Diceros bicornis minor: one gene and its partner. The protein of the gene in region 2 interacts with the protein of the main gene of each other region in a biochemical or structural test. Links are inferred from orthologs where the notes say so. Each region holds a gene or a part of one and is shown on either strand. Other genes may lie near its edges.

Region 1 (9,154 bases), on a different chromosome or scaffold from region 2:
CCCCAACCGCATCCCCCCCTGGAACTCTCTCCGCTTCCCCCTTCCTCCAACCCGGGAAACCCGGGGCTCCGACTCGCTGGGGTGCCAACCCCCAACCCCATCTCCCCCTCCTGGGCTGCCCTCCTCTCAGCTCCCAATGTTGGGGCCCCAGGGTCATGGCACCCCAAAATGCCTCCCCAAAACATTTAGGCCAGAGATTAGGAAGCATTGTTGAGAATCCCAGGAAAAGTCAAGGGTCTTATCACCAGGAAAAAAATGGACGCCCAAGATTCTAGGCAAAATGCGGGCATGTTCCCTTCCCTAAAGCCCACCCTAGACCCCCGGGAGGCCATTGGCTGGTGTCTGAAGATCCATGGAGGCAGATCCTCCACCTCCAGGGAGTCACCCAGTCTGCATCCCGGCCTGGTCCCCAGCAGTGCCTACCTGCCCTCCCGGACTTGCCCCCAGTTCCTGAGGGGGGAGTGCCAGTGGTGCTGGGGAAGCCCCTCATTACCTCCTCAGGAAAGTTCAGCCCTGAAAGGGGCCATGGAGAAATCGAAACCAACCTCCTGTCACTCGGTGGACAGGACAAGGGGAAGCCCAGAGGGAGCACGCAAGCCTTGAGGTCACACAGCAAGGGAGGGCAGGCCGGGGCCAGATGCCCCGCCAGGGTGGCCTGTGCTGGCTGCTGGCTGCGGCCTTATTGACGCCGACCTGTCCTGCTGCCAGACCTGTCCTCCTCCTCCACTCTCGGGGAGTGGCTCCTGGCAGCCAGACCTTTGGTCCTGGGAAGGCAGTTCTCCTACACCCCTTATCTCACGCGATCTGTGAAGTCAGCAGGGTGGGGAAGACACCCTCGCTTGGTGGATGGGGACACTGAGGCTGGGAGAGATGAAGGGACACCCTGCGGATACTGGCAGGGCCTACCTCAAGTCACTGCAACTTGGAAAAACCGTCTTAGGCCTCTGTGGTGGAGGCCCCGGGCACCCGAAGATGAATTAGACTTGTCTAGGCCCTCAAGGAACTCCCAGGCTGCAGGGGGAAACTGAGGCCCAGGCAGCAGTGGCTGGAGCTTTGGACTGCCTCAGTTCAAACCCTGGCTCGGCTACTTGCCAGCTCTGTGGCCTTAGGCCCATTACTTAAGCTCTTTGAGCCTTGGTTTCTTCGTCTATAAAATGGACACAGTAATAACGCCTCCCTCTTTGGGCTATAGTGGAAATTAAATGAGCTGATAATGGGAAGCACTTAGAAACCGCCACAATAGCAGGCGCTACATAAATGCTACAGTGTTAGGAGACATTTTGTCGACTTGGGTAAACCGCTTCCCCTCTCTAGGCCTCAGTTTGTCTGTCTATAAAATGAGGAGGCTGGAATGAGGAGGTTCAGAGCGTGAGGTGTGGAGTCACAAGGATGGCGGCTTGAATCCCAGCTGTCACTCACTGGCCCATCAAAACGAGGGAAAGTTTCCCTCCCGCTCTATCCCATCCCCACCCTGCTATTAGATATCATTGACTCTCAGACTTCTTCATGGCCTTTATCACATTTTATAATCAATCCCACATTTCATTTATTGTTTATGTGTCTGCCTCCACATCCAGGTAGGGAACCCCAGGAAGGCAGAACCACGGCTGTCTCAGTCACTGCTGAGTCCCCAGCACTGCCCAGCACAGGGCCAGGTACACAACAGGCGCTCAATAAATATTTATTGAATGGATGACGTCAGAAATTAGTCTCAATTGAAACCAAAGATCTAAGTCTCAGGCCAGAAAAGTCTCAGCCTTGTTCCTGCCCAGAACCAGCGCCCGGGCAGTACCTGTCCCCAGTGCCATCTCCCACCTTTCACCATCGCCCAGACCTGTCAGAGAACCCGCAGAGCCTCTGCCACAGCCAAGCCAGCACTTCTGGGGCCCACCCCCTAAGATTCTCCCCCCAGAGAGAGGCTCAGACCCAGCCCACTGGGGCCTCTGAGTTTTCATGGTGATGGGACTCAATCCTGCCTTCCATAATCCCAGCGGATTTATAAGAGAGAGGATCTTGTCATTTGGCCATGATTCTGCATTTCCCTGGGCAGCACTGAATTTGGGATGGCACAGGCTGAGGGACCTTAGAGACTAGTGGTTCTCAGCATCTCTTGGGAACTTGCTAGAAATACAAACTCTCAGGGCCCATCCTAGACCTACTGAATCAGAAGCTCCAGAGGTGGGGCCCAACAATCTGTTTTAACAATCTCTCCAGGGGACTCTGATGCACACGAAGGTTTAAGAACCACTGTTATAGCCTGTCTAATAATAATAATTATTATTGTTATTATATCACTAATAGTTAAAATTTATTGAGCCTTTACTGTGTGCCTGACACTGCTTTGAAAGTTTACCTGTATCCTCTCAATCCCCCTAAAAAGGAAGCACTGATATTATGCCCATCTTATAGATGAGGAAAACTGAGGCCCAGAGAGGGGAAGTGACTTGCAGACATTCACACAGGGAGGGGGTGGTGGCATCAGCCTGTAATTATTAACTTCAGTGCTAATATGGTGATTCTTTAAAGAGAACTCCTCTTAGAGCATGAACAGGTGGTTAGTTTTACCTGTCCAGCTCCTAATCACCGCCTGGGGCCCCCATCTCAACGGGCAGGGAGGGACACAGGCCGTCAGAGGAAAGCTGAGGTGGACCTAGAGAAACCCCCAAACAGAGGCGTGCCCAACGCCGCCTGTACAGGATTCCCCCGTCCCCCGTCCTAAGCGTGCAGGTGGGCAGGGACCGTGGAGGGCTGCTCACCCGTGGTCCTGGAAACGGCGAGCGAGAGCGAGGAGAGGTCAGCGGGCCCTGCAAGGAGGGAGGCACGTCTCATGAGCTGATGGAGATGCAGCGGGAGGACCAGAGAATCCCCCAAGCCCCATCCCGTTCCCCTCCTGGCTCCGCCCCTTTGAATCAGGCCCCTCCCCCTTATCGCCCACTGAGTCTGGCCTTGCTCCCTTCCCTAACCCATGGACGCGTCCCCTAGTTTATCATTCACCCCACCTTTCATCACACTCAGGCCTCGCTCCTTCTCCCCCTTAAGATCGGGCCTGGAGGAGCCCTTGTCAACCTGTTAGGAAAGCCCCCACCTCCTTCCTTATCTCAGGGTCAGACCCTACCCCTTCACTTTTTCAGTGTCAAGCCCGTCCCCTTCTCCCTCTCAGACCCTGCCACTTCTCTTCTGAGACCAGCTACCCCCTCTTCTTCTCTGAGTCAGGCCCCGCCCTTCTTTTTTCGGAACAGGCCCTCTCCTGTCTCTGCGCCAGAGCCAGGCCCCGCCCCTCCTCCCTCTCGGAGTCTGGCCCCGCCCCCTCTCGCCCTCAGGCCCCGCCCCTTACTCTGAGCCGGACCCCGCTTCCTTCTCTGAGTCAGGCCCCGCCCTCCTCTCGCTCTCAGGGTCAGGCCCCGCCCCTCCTTGGAACCAGGCCCCTCCCTTTTCGCCCTCTCGGAGTCTGGCCACGCCCCCACCCCACAGCCGCGGCTCGCGCTCCGCCTCCTCCTCGTCAGGCCCCGCCCCTCCCCTCTCGGAGTCGGACCCCGCCCCCCTCTTTGCCTCAGGGTCAGGCCCCGCCCCCTTCTCACTCTACAGTGGGACGCCTCTCTCTTACCTTGGGCCGGACCCCGTCCCCATCCTCTGCCTCCTTCCTTCCCTCTAATACAGTGTCCCCGGAGCCCTCACACTCTCCCGGCAAAACCCCTGGAGTCCTGTAGGAACCATCAGACTCCTCCGGGACCCGCAGACGCCCGCATCTCCAGTCCCGCCCCAGAGTCCTCCTGAACCCAGGCCCCGCTTACCCAAGGCCCCCAGCTCCGCTGGGGGTCTGGCGACGCGGCGACTCGGCATGGCCCGACCGGTGGGGTCGGACGGCCCGGAGGCCGGCCCACACCAAAACACACGCGCGGGCGGCCCGGGCGGCCGGGCGGTACGGTCCGGCGGACGATCGCGGGTCGGGCGAGCGGCTCAGGGGCTGGGGCCGCAGGCCGGGCAGGACGCGCGGCGCCCGGGGCTGCGGGGGGCGCCGGGCCGGGCCGGGCGGGCGGCGGGCGGGGGCGGGGCGGCGGAATTCCCCGGCGCCGCCGGCCTGCGCGCCCATTGGCCCGCACCCCGCCGTGACGTCACGCTGGGGGAACGGGAAAACCCCCACGCGTCACGTGGTCGCGGGGGCGGGGCCGGCCGGGAAGAGGAGGCCGGGCGCACTGGAGGGGCCGGGCGCCGCCGCTGCCCGTTGCTCTGGCGGAGAAGACTGAGGCCTGCTTGGGACCACTCACGCCCCACCCAGGGAGCAAGTCGGGAAACTGAGGCCCGCCGCTCAGGTGTGCCGGCGGGATTGAACCTGCTGTTTCTCTGGCTGGAAGGGCACTTCGGGATCAGGGGCTCTATAGCTGACATTGATAATGATTTTTACGAAACCTCCGTGGTCTCTCTACGCCTCAGTTTCTTCAACTGTAAATTGGGAGTGAACATATTTAAACGTTTAAAGCTAGAATGTCAGTTCTAGGATTTGTCTGTTTTGTTCTTTGCTGTCTCCCCAGTGCCTAAAACAGCACCTGGAACACAGTAGGTGCCTAATAAATGTTTGTTGAATGAATGGAGGGATGTTTTATTCCTCCCCATAGCCCCTTCAAGTTTCCTAATAGCGCAGCGCACTTTCAGCTCAGTAACTCGGGCTGGGAATGGCTGAAGCCCCCCGTGTACGTATCCAGCTGTGTGCCTGACGGCTGAGCAGAGGGCTTACCTGGGGGCCTCAGACGCACGTGACAGAACCAGGAGGAGAGACGAGGGACTGAGGCTCAAAGAGGGGCAGCTCTTTGGTCACATCACATTCCTAAGCCTGCCCTGTCCGTGAGAATGACTGGGTGACTGTTGGGTTCCAGCTGGGATGCAGGGCACCCTCGGCCCACAGAGCCGGGGGCTGGCGTCCTGTGTCTGCTTGTGTAAAACGTGAGTGTTCCACCTCTTCCCTCCGTGGCCCACGTGGACGCATTGATTCACTCCACATACACCTACAGAGCACCTGCTCTGCCCAGAGCCTGCACTGGGCACTAGGCCACAGCACTCGCCAAGCCAGGCCTGGTACCTGCTCACGGGAGGCAGGATCACGTACAACAGCAGTTCTCAGAGGGTGGCCCCCAGCTCATCAGGTGATGTGGCTGTACGCTCAAGTTGAAGAACTCCTGCCACAGAGCAAAATATCCGGCCCTTTTTTTCTGCAAACGGCCGACAGCAAATTTGTTCCACTTGAGGGTTTCAGGGCCAGACAGCCGCAACACTCGATTCTTCAGCACAAAAGCAGCCAAAGACAGTACGGAAGCTATGAGTGTGGCTGTATTCCAATAAAACATTATTTGATGGATACTGAAATTTGAATTTCACGTAATTTTCATGTGAAATGAAATCTTCTCCTTGAGGTTTGTTTCAACCACTTGAAAATGTAAAAATTACACCAGAACTAGAAAAAGCTGGATTTGGCCTGCGGACTGTAGCCTGCATATAACAAGAACATGGCAAAAGAAGTTATGATTTGAGGGTCCAGAATCAGACAGCCTGGGTTCAAATCCTAGGTCTCCTACTTACCAGCTGTGTGACCTTGGGCAACTGACTTCATCTCTCTGATCCTCAGTTTCCTCATCTGTAAAATGGGTCTAATGATAGGACGGTTGTGAGAATTAAATAAGATACTAGTAAGAGTTGACACTTGTATGTGGCTCTTACATGTGCTTTGCACTGATCTAAGCACTTCATGTTCTAAATCCTCATGTCACGTGACTTTGTGAGATCTTGGACAAATCACCTAATTTCTCTGGGTTTCTGTTTTCTCTATCTGCTCTTGTGAACATCCGACTTACAGAGTTATTACACACAGAGCTGGGGACACAGCAGGCAAGGGACACAACAGACAACAGCCTGCCATCATGGAACTAAAATCCAGGTGAGGGCAACAGGTGGAAAATAGATAAGCAAATTGATGTCCGGTGGTGATGGCAGGATTAGAGAATAAAGCAGGATATGTGGATCAAGTTGGGAGAGTACTCTTTGGGTTAGGAAGCTCAGGGAGGGTCTGAGATGACATTTGAGCAGAGGGCTGAAATGGTGAAAGGATCCATGTGGATATCTAGGGAAGAGTGTTCAAGACAGAGGGAACAGCAAGTGCAAAGGCCCTGAGGTGGGAACATGCATGGCATGTTCAAGGAACAGCAAGGAGGCTAGAGTGGCATGTCTGCTGGGGAAGCAGTGGAGATGAGGGTAGTGATAGCTTGTAAGGTGACGGGGACATTGAGTAATGCTACATTTAGTGCATGGAGTGAACCACACACAGCACCTAGACTAGAACTTGGCTCATGATAAGGAGTGTCAAATCGTGGCTCCTATTATAGGACCAGGGGCCCACCTGATTCCCTCTGTCCTTTGCAAATGTCAGGCCTCACAATTGTCTGTTGGGTGAATAAGTGAAAGGCCATGTTGGAAACCCTCAGCGCTCAGGATTTCTCCGGCTCTGTGCCCCATGAGGGCAGGCCTGGGGCTGTCTTGGTCCCTGCTGTGTACACAGAACCCCCAGCTCAGGGCAACATCCGGGGAGGGGCTCAGGGAGCATCTGTTGACTAACTGCATGTCTGTCACTCCACCAGGAGCTTAATGCGGCCCCGTCAGGGTCCACGCTTCTGGATGTGTGTGTGTGTCTGTGCAAGTCAGTTGTACAAACGGGCACTCAGCACACTCCCAGAGCGCCTTCTCTGTGCCAAGGACATGGCAGTGACCAAGACAGCCCTGGCTTTGTCCTCACGGGGCTCAGTCCAGTGGAGAATGACCTGTCTCCAGATGGTGATGACCCACAGCGGGCAGGGCTGGGATGGGGGAGCCCAGGCAGCTGTGAGCGCCCAGAGGGAGTGGTCAGGGAGGGCTTCCTGAAGGAGTCGACATTGGCGCTGCAACCTGGAGGATGCACAGGGTAAGGAGAAGAGCTGAGTGCCTGGGGGCGTGTCCCAGGTAAAGGAAGAGCATGGGCTAGAGCTGGAGGTAAGAGATCACAGCAAGTTAAAGCAGGGGGGGCTGTAGGGGTTAAGAAGTTAGGAGCCCGGGCTCTTCTCCCAAGGGTACTGGGGAGCCACGGTAGGTTCTGAGCAGGGTCAGGTTTGTGCTTTGGAAAGTTCTCTCTAGCTGCTGGATGGAGAGTGAATGGGAGGGGCAGGACTGGGCAGGAGACCAGGGAGGAGGCTGGGTGGGGGCCCAGGGGGTAAGGAGGAGCCTGGACCACGTGGTCTCAGTGGAAGTGAAGAGGTGAGACTCCCAAGCAATTATGGGGGACAGCAGATGGGCCCTGCCAAAGGCTTGGGTGTGTGGCTGTGGGAGGAGGAGCCAGGGGTGATGAGGCCAGCGAGCGGAGGGGGCCTGAGGGTCCACGGCCCCGGGTTCCCAGAGCCCCGCAGAGAGCAGGGGAGGGAGTGGAGCAGGTCCGTGGCTGCCTGAGGGGTGCAGGCGCCTGCAGTACCGTGTCACAGATTCCTGAGAGCCTGGCATGGTCCTCAGCCCCGGGCCTCCTGTCCCCGAGGTGTTGATGAGACCACTCCCCCAGAAAGTAAACCTGGGAACGTGGGGCTCCAACCCCTCGGTGTGCAGGGACGCCCAGAGGCCTGTCTCCTCACCTGTAAGGTGGGTGAACAGTCCCAGCACCCGGGTTGTTGGGAAGGCACACGTGCCATGCACTAAGACCCTGGCTGGGTCTCTGACACAGGCAGCCCTGGGGGTGCTGATGACACCCCCTCGGCTACAGAGTGCTACAGCTGGGCACCACTCGAGCGCGGATTCACCCCCGAGCCCCCGCCGCAACCCTGCGAGGAGGCAGGCCCATGCTCCTGCCCTGCCCGGCGGCGATGGCCGGGAGACAGTCAGTGGGCACAGGTGGGTGTGGCCTTGGGGCAAGAGCATGGGCGCGGCAAGGTCCCGGCAAGCAGGCTCCCCGTCTGTCAAGTGGGGTACAGTCATGGAGGCCCCTCAGAGGGCTGCTGGGAGGGGAGAGGGTAAGAAAGGGGCCTGGCCCCGAGGGTCGTGTCCTGCACCTGTGGGTCTCCCTCCAGACCTGGACAGGCATCACACCTGCTCTCCCATGTGACAGAGGAAGGAAGGCGTGAGGGGTTGTTGAGTTTAAGTTAAACACCCATATGAATTTATTAAATCCAGACTGTGTTAAAGGGCGGCGATCTGGGAGGATGGGGTGCGCGGGGACGAGGGACAAGATGATGGATGCCGTGGGCGCCCCGCAGAGGGGCCCCGGCCCCTCCCCCGCCTGGCCCTCCCCCTCGGCAGCGCCACGTCGGCTTCGCCATGATTCCCGATGGTGCTGGGCTGGCGGGGCGAGATGGCTAGAAACACAGAGGAACAGACGGACGGACGGCGCCTCCACAAACAACGTGCCCTGGCCTGCCCGGCCCCCACACCAAGCTGGGCCCTGGCCCAAGGGGGCCTCCTACCGTCCCAGCCCCATCTGTCCAGGGAAAGGGCGACAGGAGGGGAGGCGGGGGGGCCAAGGCGGCGGGGGCGGTGGTCACTGGGAGCCGGAGCGGACGAGGAGGACCAGGAGCGGTTAATCCCTTTTCTTGTCCTCTGCTGGCTTTGGAGGAGCCTCCTGGGGCTCGCTGGCAGAGCTGGGCCCCTGGGTGGGCTGGGTGGGCTTGGCGGGCCGGGGCGTGGAGGCCTCCTCCCTGGCGGCGGCAGTGGTTGTGGCGGGGGCAGGGGAGGCTGGGAGGGCCCCTGCTGCTGGCGGGGCCTCCGCCACGGGGGCAGCTGCTGGCGGGGCCTCACCGCTCATGCCAAACTCGTTCACCCGCGTGGGGTCGACGCGGTAGATCCACCGTTGGTAGAGGTAGATGAAGAAGACCACATCTGGGGGTGGGGTGAGGGGGGCAGTGTAAGTGGAGGGGGCCTGCTTGGCCCACCGCTGTGGGGAGGAGTGGTCCTGCAAAGCCGGGGCCGAGCCCCCTCAGCCTCAGCCCTAAGGTGGGGCCGGGGCAGCTCCCGCAGACCAGGGCCCTGAATCCTGCCTGTGCCCAGCTCTGGGTGGGGGGGGGGGCTCCGCTGACCCACCCGCCTGCCTCCGGGCCTCACCGTCCCGCAGGCAGCCGATCCGGTACATAACGGGCATCTTGATGACAAAGGCGAACAG
Region 2 (8,438 bases):
AGCTAGAGACAGGAGGAAACCTTTTGTTTCAACTTTTCACACCTGTTCTCATTCCTATCACAAACTGCTTGAGGGCAAGATTTCTGCAGCTCAAAGAGCACCTTCAACACAGTAGGTCGGGAGTCACTGACTGCTTTCCCTGGTCCACGTTCCACAGCCCATTTCTAAGCTCCCTCCTTCACCAGATTTAGGTGGCATTAGAGCCTTTTGAAAGCTCTGTCATCTTCGGGGCTCTGCTGTTCTATGCCACCAGAGAATTTATGCAGCTTGTGCAAGACACTCAGAACCTGTGCCTATCTACACTGACAGCAAAGGGTGTTCAATATTAGAGCAGTTTGGAATGGAATTAGGGCTGAGTTTGTATTTAGGGCATTCCCATATGTACATGGTTGTGGGAAACTAAACTACATGCAAGGATTTATTCTGATTCATCAATAACCATGTGGAAACATTTACAATTATTCTTAATCCCTGATGGACAGTTCAGAATGGACTCTTGTGGTTTATTTATTAAATTCTCATCTAGTTTGCGGAAAGACGTACAGAGGGAAAAAAGTGAAGAGAAACAGAATAGGCAACTGTCTTAAGACTTTAAGGCTACGAATCCAGCAATTCTGAGGAAAGCATTTCATATCCTCGTGGGAACTGTTAGTCACTTGGACTCACACATTACAATTCCTAGGTCTGATACTAGAGAATAATACCCTTAGGACCGCCTACTATCACAGATGCTCTTCTGCCATGAGTATGCAATCACTTTAAAATAACTGTCTTAAATAGAGTAAGCATGACCAGCTTACCTTGCCCCTTCCGTTGTCACTCTCCAGTCCCCAAGTTCTCAGTGCTAACCTCTGTCATGTCAGTTTAATTCTGATTTCAAGAGGTATATGAGCTTAATATTTCCCAATTCTCCAATCTTCAGGGTTGCCCTCACTCTCTCCACCACAACTAACCTACTCTGAACCAACCTTCACCATCTGGGGAGACTGGTGAAACTCCATCTGTCTGTTATCAGACTTCCCACCCTGATATTCCCAGATTCCACCATCGCATGCCCTTTGTTGCTCATCACCTCAGGCTAGGCAACTTCCCTTCTCTCTATACTACGTCACTTTAAAGATGTGGCCTCAAACCCTTCCATTAGTTCCCCCAAACAAAGCTGACATCATTCTGTAGCCTTTAACAACACCTGACTGAAGGCTTGGGGACGAAAACTGAACACCTGACGTCAGGTATCCACTACTTTTAGATTCCAGCAGCCATGCTTCTTCAGTGGCAGGGCCTTAATGACTTTCTTCTCTCTCCTTTATTGACAAATACGAGTCCTCACTACCAGGGCCTCTTCAGGAAAGCCCAGAGCCTTCCCTAACTAGAGTACTAGTTAATATCACAAATTAACCAATCACAGATTGGGTAATCTGACCCCTCCCAAAGAAGACAATATTTTACATTATTCTAAGTTTAGAAATTCAGAAATCTATGATGCTAAAATAACAGTGTCTTGGATTTTCTTTCCACAGTCAAAAGCACAATGTGTTTTTCCTAGAAGAGAAAAAAAGTACGCCATCTGTCTGCTCACTTTGTGAGTTTACCACTTCTTGATTCCATCCTCATATCATTATTCCTCTGTATGGCCAAATAATCCCAAATCATCATGACTCTGGTTTAACCCTAAACTCTCTGAAACTCAAGGTTGTTGTGAGGGTTAAAGTAGATAATGCATGCAAACACTTAGTACACTGGTATACACTAAGTGCTTAATAAATGATAAAAACCCATTATTATTATGATTCACACTCAACATAGCATTTAACATGTTTGCGAATGTCCCAGAATAACAGTCCATTACTAGACAAGCCCCTATGAATAGTAGTTAAATATTTGTTATCTTTTTATTTTCTGGAACTTCAGTAATAGGCACTCAGTAAGTTTTGAATGAATGACTCCCCTCTCAATTCAAAGTATTTATAGAATGCCTAAGATAGGTTCAATATATAACATATAAAATCTTAAGTGATGGTTCCTGTTCTCAAGGAGTTTATAAAGATGTGTACAAATAATTATAGTATAAGACAAAGTTAACTCATAGGAGAAGTTAAGAAAACTGCTAAGGGGTTCAAAAGCAGACCAAGACCATAACAACGGTATAGAGTAGTGGGTCTAAGCGTGGTCTAGGAACCCCTAGCGCAGTTCCTGAAACCCTTTCACTTGATCCACAAGGTCAGAGATGTTTTTATCTCTTTCATTCACTGTCTCAGGAGTGTACATTGGAGTAGCCAGTGTTATATGACAGTGCAACAGACTGAATGTAGAAGCACATAGAAGCAGCCAGCTCTCTGCAATTAAGCCAAGACATTAAAGAGATTTTCACAATGTAAAACAATGCCACTTTCCTAAATTTTGTTTTGGAAATGTCTGTTTTTCCACAAAACATGTAATTTCTGTTCACATGTAATGAGACATTCTTTTTAGTTAATATTTTAAAAATTTATTACCTTTAATTTCTAATATGGTAAATATCAGTATATATTATATGTATGTAATACATAGAACCCACATTAAAAACTCTCTGGGGTCCTCAATAATTCTTAAGAGTGTAAAGGAGTCCTGAGACCAAACGTTCCAGAACCGCTAGCACAGCGGTTCCAAGCCTGGGAATAGGAAAAGAGTTTTATTTATAGTTTAATGTCATGGTGAAGTCAAGAAGAGAGCCTGGTAAGTTGGTTTGACGGAGGAAGACGGTGAGTTAAGTCTGTCTTTCCCACCATCCTTCTCTCCCTACATAAAAACCTTCATGAATTCCTGCACCCCAAACCCTTTGCTTTCATCATCTCTTTACCTGCACTTCTCCTTCCTAACCCTCCTAAGGGTCTTCCAGGTCTGTGTCCACATCCTGTTCTTTTGTATTTTAAGTGCTTCGGAATTGCCGCCCTATCACAACGGTCTCCAGACAGCTTTCCTTCTCTCAATAGCCTCCTTGGTCAACCTCGACTCGTCTCTTTCAGCCCACGGGAGGAGGGTAGGAAAACGGCGTGAACGCCCGGGGTCCACTCTCAAATCTCACGCATTCCCAGGACCTTCCTGGGTTCAGGCCCCACCCACGACGGCGTCCACCGTCCCAGCCCGGTGCCCACCCCACTCTCCTCGCGCGCCCCCCGCCCAAGTTCGCCCCACGTGACCCCGCCCCCACGCCCCCGGTGCCGCCTCACCTGAGCCGGAGGCGCCCCCGACTCCCCGCCACCTCGGCCAGCCTCCTCCAGCCCCGGCCCTCGGGCGCGCGGTCCAGGCTCCCGCTGAGCCTCCGCAGCAGCGGCTCCGGAAGGCGGTTGAGGGTCGCGCCGGCCGTTGCGGAGAGCGGCGGTCCCGAGGGCACGACCGGAGGCGGCTGCGAGGGCGGGGGCGGCGGGGCCTGCAGCGGCTCCCCGCACAGCGACATGTCCCGCGCCGGCGACCCCGCGACTGCCGCTGCTCCCGCCGGCCGCATCGCGGGCCTCGGCCCAGTACACCTTTCGCTCGCTCCCTCGCTCGCCCCGGCGCCGCGGAGGCAGCGGCGGAAGGACAAATCGGGCGGCGCTGCACCGCGCTGGAAGGAGGAAGCTGCGCTCCCCGCTCCGCCGAGACAGGTTTGTCAAGGGAAGCCGGGCCGGCCGGCCGCGCCAGCCGCGCCGAGGGGGCGGGGCCCCGGGCGGGGGCGGGGCCTCCCCTGCGCGCGCGTGCGCGCGCGGCCGCGTGTCTCCCTCGCCCGCCCCGCTGCCGCCCGGCTCGCGAGGCGCGTGCTTCAAACCCGGGGAGGTGGAGTCCTGGCCGAGCAGGAAGGGTCGGGTGGTTGCAGCTGGAGGAAGCAGGGAGGAACTACGCCCGGGCGGCTCCACTACGGCGAGGAAGCTTGCGGCGTCGGGGCTTCCCGAGACTGTGGGAGGAGGATTGCCTCACGCCAAAGACAGGAGCACGCGGCTCTCCTTTGCCGGCCCCTGGCTTCTTGCTCCAGGGGCTCGCTCAGCTGACTCAGTGACTTGCCTGTGACGGGCGACGCCACCAGCACCCGCCTTGGGCAACCTCAGCGGGGGCTTCCTCTTTAGGGTTAGATGTGTATGGCATTGGTAAGGGAAGTGGTGCTAGAGATCCAGATACCTAATGGAAATTGCCCGAAATCTGTGCTTAGATTTTTTTTTTTTTAACTGAACTGTGGTGTATTTAAACCTAATCAGATCTTGGAAATGATTGTTTTTAGCAGGAATCGCCTAGTTTCCTCCTAGTTAGACTGCCACGCACAATCTTCGTATATCAAAGAAGGCAGCGTTATAAAGGATGCCATCCCTGGAAGGGTCCAGAATAGATGAAATAAATGCAGACTGCACCTGAGCTCTCTCCCCCAATCTTAGCAACATTGAAGGCCATTGTTCCATTGAAAACCGTAGGGTGGTTTGGGACAAAAACCAGCAAGCAGCTTATGAAGTGTGACCAGCCAGGTAGCCCCCAGACACAAGGCTTCCTGGCCCAGTTTGTGTTGCCATTAGCTTTTTCATCACACAGGACTACGTGTGTTGCTATGTGCTATTTGCTGTAGCAATAATTCGGACCCGCAAATTCTCACTACGTGTTGGCGAGGTAGTTGCTGCATACAGTCTCCGCCACATTCTAGCACAAGCAGTCTCGAGGCTTTTTCATCCAGTGTAAGTTCAAAGTTCAGAATGCAGTATACTGGCTAAGAGCAAGACCTTTGGGACCAGAAAGATCTGCTGGATTCTAGTTTTATGACCTTGAATAAGTTACTAATTTCTCTGCCTCATCTGTTAAAATGGGACTGAAAATATACAATATGGAGTTGTTACCAGGATTAAAGGAGTTGATGCATGTAAAGCTCTTAACTCTGTTTTGCAGAGAGTAGCTATTATCCTTACAAATGCAAAAGCTTGTTCATACTCAGTTTGACTTGGTAAGCTTTTCCCAGTCACTTCTGGTGCCTTCCTGTTTTGTCTTAAATCATTGAACAAATATTTTATGAGTTTATTCACTGCAGGTGCCAATTATGGAAGTCAACTCTTCTAGTCTTGATTGGTTTAGTCTGGATCAGTCAAGGCTTCTAGTCTTTTAAAATTGAAATTCAACAGATTTCTTTTTTCTAAGTCTACCACGTACAAGGTGTTGCTTATGCAGCTTCTCATATGTGCATATGGGTTAAAATGGGTACCTATGTTATTTACCCTGTGAGCATCTATCTCATTTTGATCAGGTGCTGCTTCTTTTTTTGTGTGTGTGTGAGGAAGAGCGGCCCTGAGCTAACATCCATGCCCATCTTCCTCCACTTTATATGGGACGCCGCCACAGCATGACTTGACAAGCAGTGCGTCGGTGCGCGCCCAGGATCTGAACCGGCGAACCCCGGGCCGCCGCAGTGGAGCGCGCACCTAACTGCTTGCGCCACCGGGCCAGCGCCTGATCAGGTGCTTCTTTATCCAGTGCAGCTCAGCTGGGCGCTGTATTGACCCCTCCCATCCTCTCCTCTCCATCCCCAGGCAGGTGCCTCCCTCACTTCACTCTGGTCCTGGCCCTGTTTGCCTCCTGGCAATTTTATAACCTGTGCCGTCACCTCATCCACCACTCTCCAACCTCTACCCTGGATTGACATTACACTTTATGACTGGACTTCTCCTCTCAATCAAGTGTTAATATTTTTATCACATAATTTCACTCCTGTGGTTTTCTTATGGGGCCTAATGGTATAGTGGAAAGTATGTGACCTTTAGAGTTAGCCCTGAATTTGAACCTTGATGCTGCCACTTCGTTGTGGTGTGACCTGAGGCAGGTCACTTCACCTCTCTGCTTCGATTTCCACATCTGTAAAAAGTGGAAGATAACAGTACCTACTTCCAATGCTTGTTGTGAGAATTAAATGAGAGATAATATATATGCATATATAAAGTGTCTGGGAGAAGTAGATGCAGCATATATTAGTACTCTCAAAACTGTCATGTTAGTGTTGGGAACAACATAATAAACTAATTCAGCTTCCTTTTCTATATCTATTTCTATATTTACGTTTATGTAAAGATAGGAGAAAAACAGAGTGGAGATCTGGCTTTTAAATGCCCTTTAAAAGTTCATACATGTCTATAGCTAATATACGTGGGAGTTCTTCCTCATTAGTTGAGAGTGACACAAATCTTTGTGAATCCAGACAATCTTCAGGAAGCTTGTGGTTTCATTCTATGGAAATTCATTGATGTAATCTTCAAAACTCTCAGAAATCTGGAAACTGACTCAAAGGTTTTTTTCCTTTACACAATTTGACTATAGATGGTACTCTATCTAGAAATGCCAGAATAACATTGTTTCATATCTGGACAGGTTTTCAAAGGCCCGGGGATCTTGCAGGTCCTGGGATCTGTCTACAACAGAGGGAAAGGAAACAGGAGTCTTGTGACTTAAATGGCATTTCTTGTCTTCCACCCTTATTCCATGCCCTGCAGCCTTCGTGACCTCTGACTCAGCCTCTTTGTTGAGGCCACGCTCTTTCACAAGGCTCTCCGCATCCGTACCTGCCCCTTGCTGCTGCCGTCTCCCAAAGGATTAGGGGAATTTTCCCGTTTCGATTTCAACTTGGGAATAGTGGCTAAGTGTTGCACTTGTATTCCACACCTTTCCTTCATGATGAATCATCCATGGCAAAAACTCTTTTACTTGTCTAAATTCATTCATTCTTCATTTATTCATTCATTCAATCATTAACAAATATTTATTGGATGCCTACCTTGTGCCAGGCTCTGTGCCAAATACTGTTAAAGGATAGCTTTTATTTGTTTTGTTTTTATTAAGGTTTTTTTTAGAGCAGTTTTAGGTTCACAGCAAAATTGAAGTAAAGGTAGAGAGATTTCCCATGTACCCTCTGCCCCCACACATGCACAACTTCCCCCATTATCCACATCCCCCACCAGACTGGTACTATGAACCTGCACTGACACATCATCATCACCCAAAGTCCATAGTTTACATTAGGGTTCATTTGTGGTGGGGTACATTCTTTGGGTTTAGACAAATGTATGATGACATGTATCCACTATTACAGTATCATACAGAGTACTTTCACTGCCTTGAAAATCTTCTGTGCCCCACCTATTCGTCCCTCCTCCTCCCTAACCCTTTGCAACCACTGGTCTTTTACTGTCTCCATAGTTTTGCCTTTTCCAGAATGTCATATAGTTGGAATCATACAGTATGTAGCCATTTCAGATTGGCCTCTTTCACTTATTAATATGCATTTAAGTTTCCTCCAGGTCTTTTCATGGCTTGATAGCTCATTTGTTTTTAGCACTGGCTAATACTCCATTGCCTGATGTATCACAGTTTATTTATCCATTCACCTGCTGAAGAACTTGGTTGCTTCCTGGTGTTGGCAGTTATGAGTAAAGCTGCCATAAACATCTGTGTGCAGATTTTTGTGTGGACATCAGTTTTCAACTCCTTTGGGTAAATACCAAGGAGCGTGATTGCTGGCTCATAGGGGAAGACTATGTTTAGTTTTCTAAGAAACTGCCAAACTGTCTCCCAAAATGGCTGTATCCTTTTGCATTCCTACCAGCAATGAATGAGAATTCCTGTTGCTCTACATCCACGCCAGCATTTGATGTCGGTGTTCAGGATTTTGGATGGGATAGTTTTTTAAGAAAGTTAAAATCATGACTCTCAACAAATGTACAATGAACATGTGTCAAAGATTTTACTTAACACATTAGTGAACAAGGGAACCAGAAAGGTGTTACAACCACTTCAAAGGAGAATCCAAAGATGAGATAATTATGTAAGCCCAGCAAGATGCTGAAATGAATTAGCTTAACAGATGCAAAACTGGCTTCTTCCGTAGTGGAGGAGGAAGATAGATTGAACCTCCACTTGACAGAATTAATTTATTTATAATTAAGAATTATTTGCCTTACTATCAGTTTTCTACAACTTGCGTCTCTCAAGAGTAGCAAAACAGCCTAGTCAAAGACAGTGAAGGCATAGATAACCCAGATAGATAATCAGGAGTCAGATACCCACCGCAATTCAGTCTGTCAGTTTTTTCGTACCATGCTTAGAGCACAAGATTGACTTAATCCAATCTCTGCTTGAGGCAAGAAAGGGAGTGGTGAGTACTCTGTTGGCAGCAAGAAGGAAGTGTGAACATACTGAGGAGAAAGTACCATGTGGAGCAGCGAGAGAAAAAATATTCCTCACGTACAAAGGAACTCCCATTGAGGCTGTCAGCGGAGAGTTTAGCAATGCTTTATGAGATGGAAGACATTCCTGTGTGCAACACACTCACGTAGATACGGCCACCTTTCCTTCCTGTTCAAGAAAACATGTCTGAGCACTAGTATAATGATAGGAATAATACTAGGTTACATGATAGATATGGCATTATGATAGGAAAAGTCTTAAATCAGGTCTAATTTATT

What was found.
Region 1: of the proteins of MALT1 (region 2) and RELB, one has a biochemical effect on the other in vitro, tested with the Homo sapiens proteins (2 studies listed by BioGRID). The link is inferred for Diceros bicornis minor from reciprocal best matches to the Homo sapiens genes MALT1 and RELB.

Annotation. Positions count from the first base shown.
Region 1 is NC_080773.1:19,348,516-19,357,669, reverse strand, and holds the start of RELB (transcription factor RelB), read right to left. Parts: upstream 3,991-9,154; 5' UTR 3,841-3,990; coding exon 3,792-3,840; intron 2,805-3,791; coding exon 2,757-2,804; intron 1-2,756. Other genes in the region: putative lipid scramblase CLPTM1, read right to left, coding at 8,576-8,874, 9,097-9,154.
Region 2 is NC_080755.1:49,979,680-49,988,117, reverse strand, and holds the start of MALT1 (mucosa-associated lymphoid tissue lymphoma translocation protein 1), read right to left. Parts: upstream 3,520-8,438; 5' UTR 3,485-3,519; coding exon 3,210-3,484; intron 1-3,209. UniProt on the Homo sapiens protein: Protease that enhances BCL10-induced activation: acts via formation of CBM complexes that channel adaptive and innate immune signaling downstream of CARD domain-containing proteins (CARD9, CARD11 and CARD14) to activate NF-kappa-B and MAP kinase p38 pathways which stimulate expression of genes encoding pro-inflammatory cytokines and chemokines.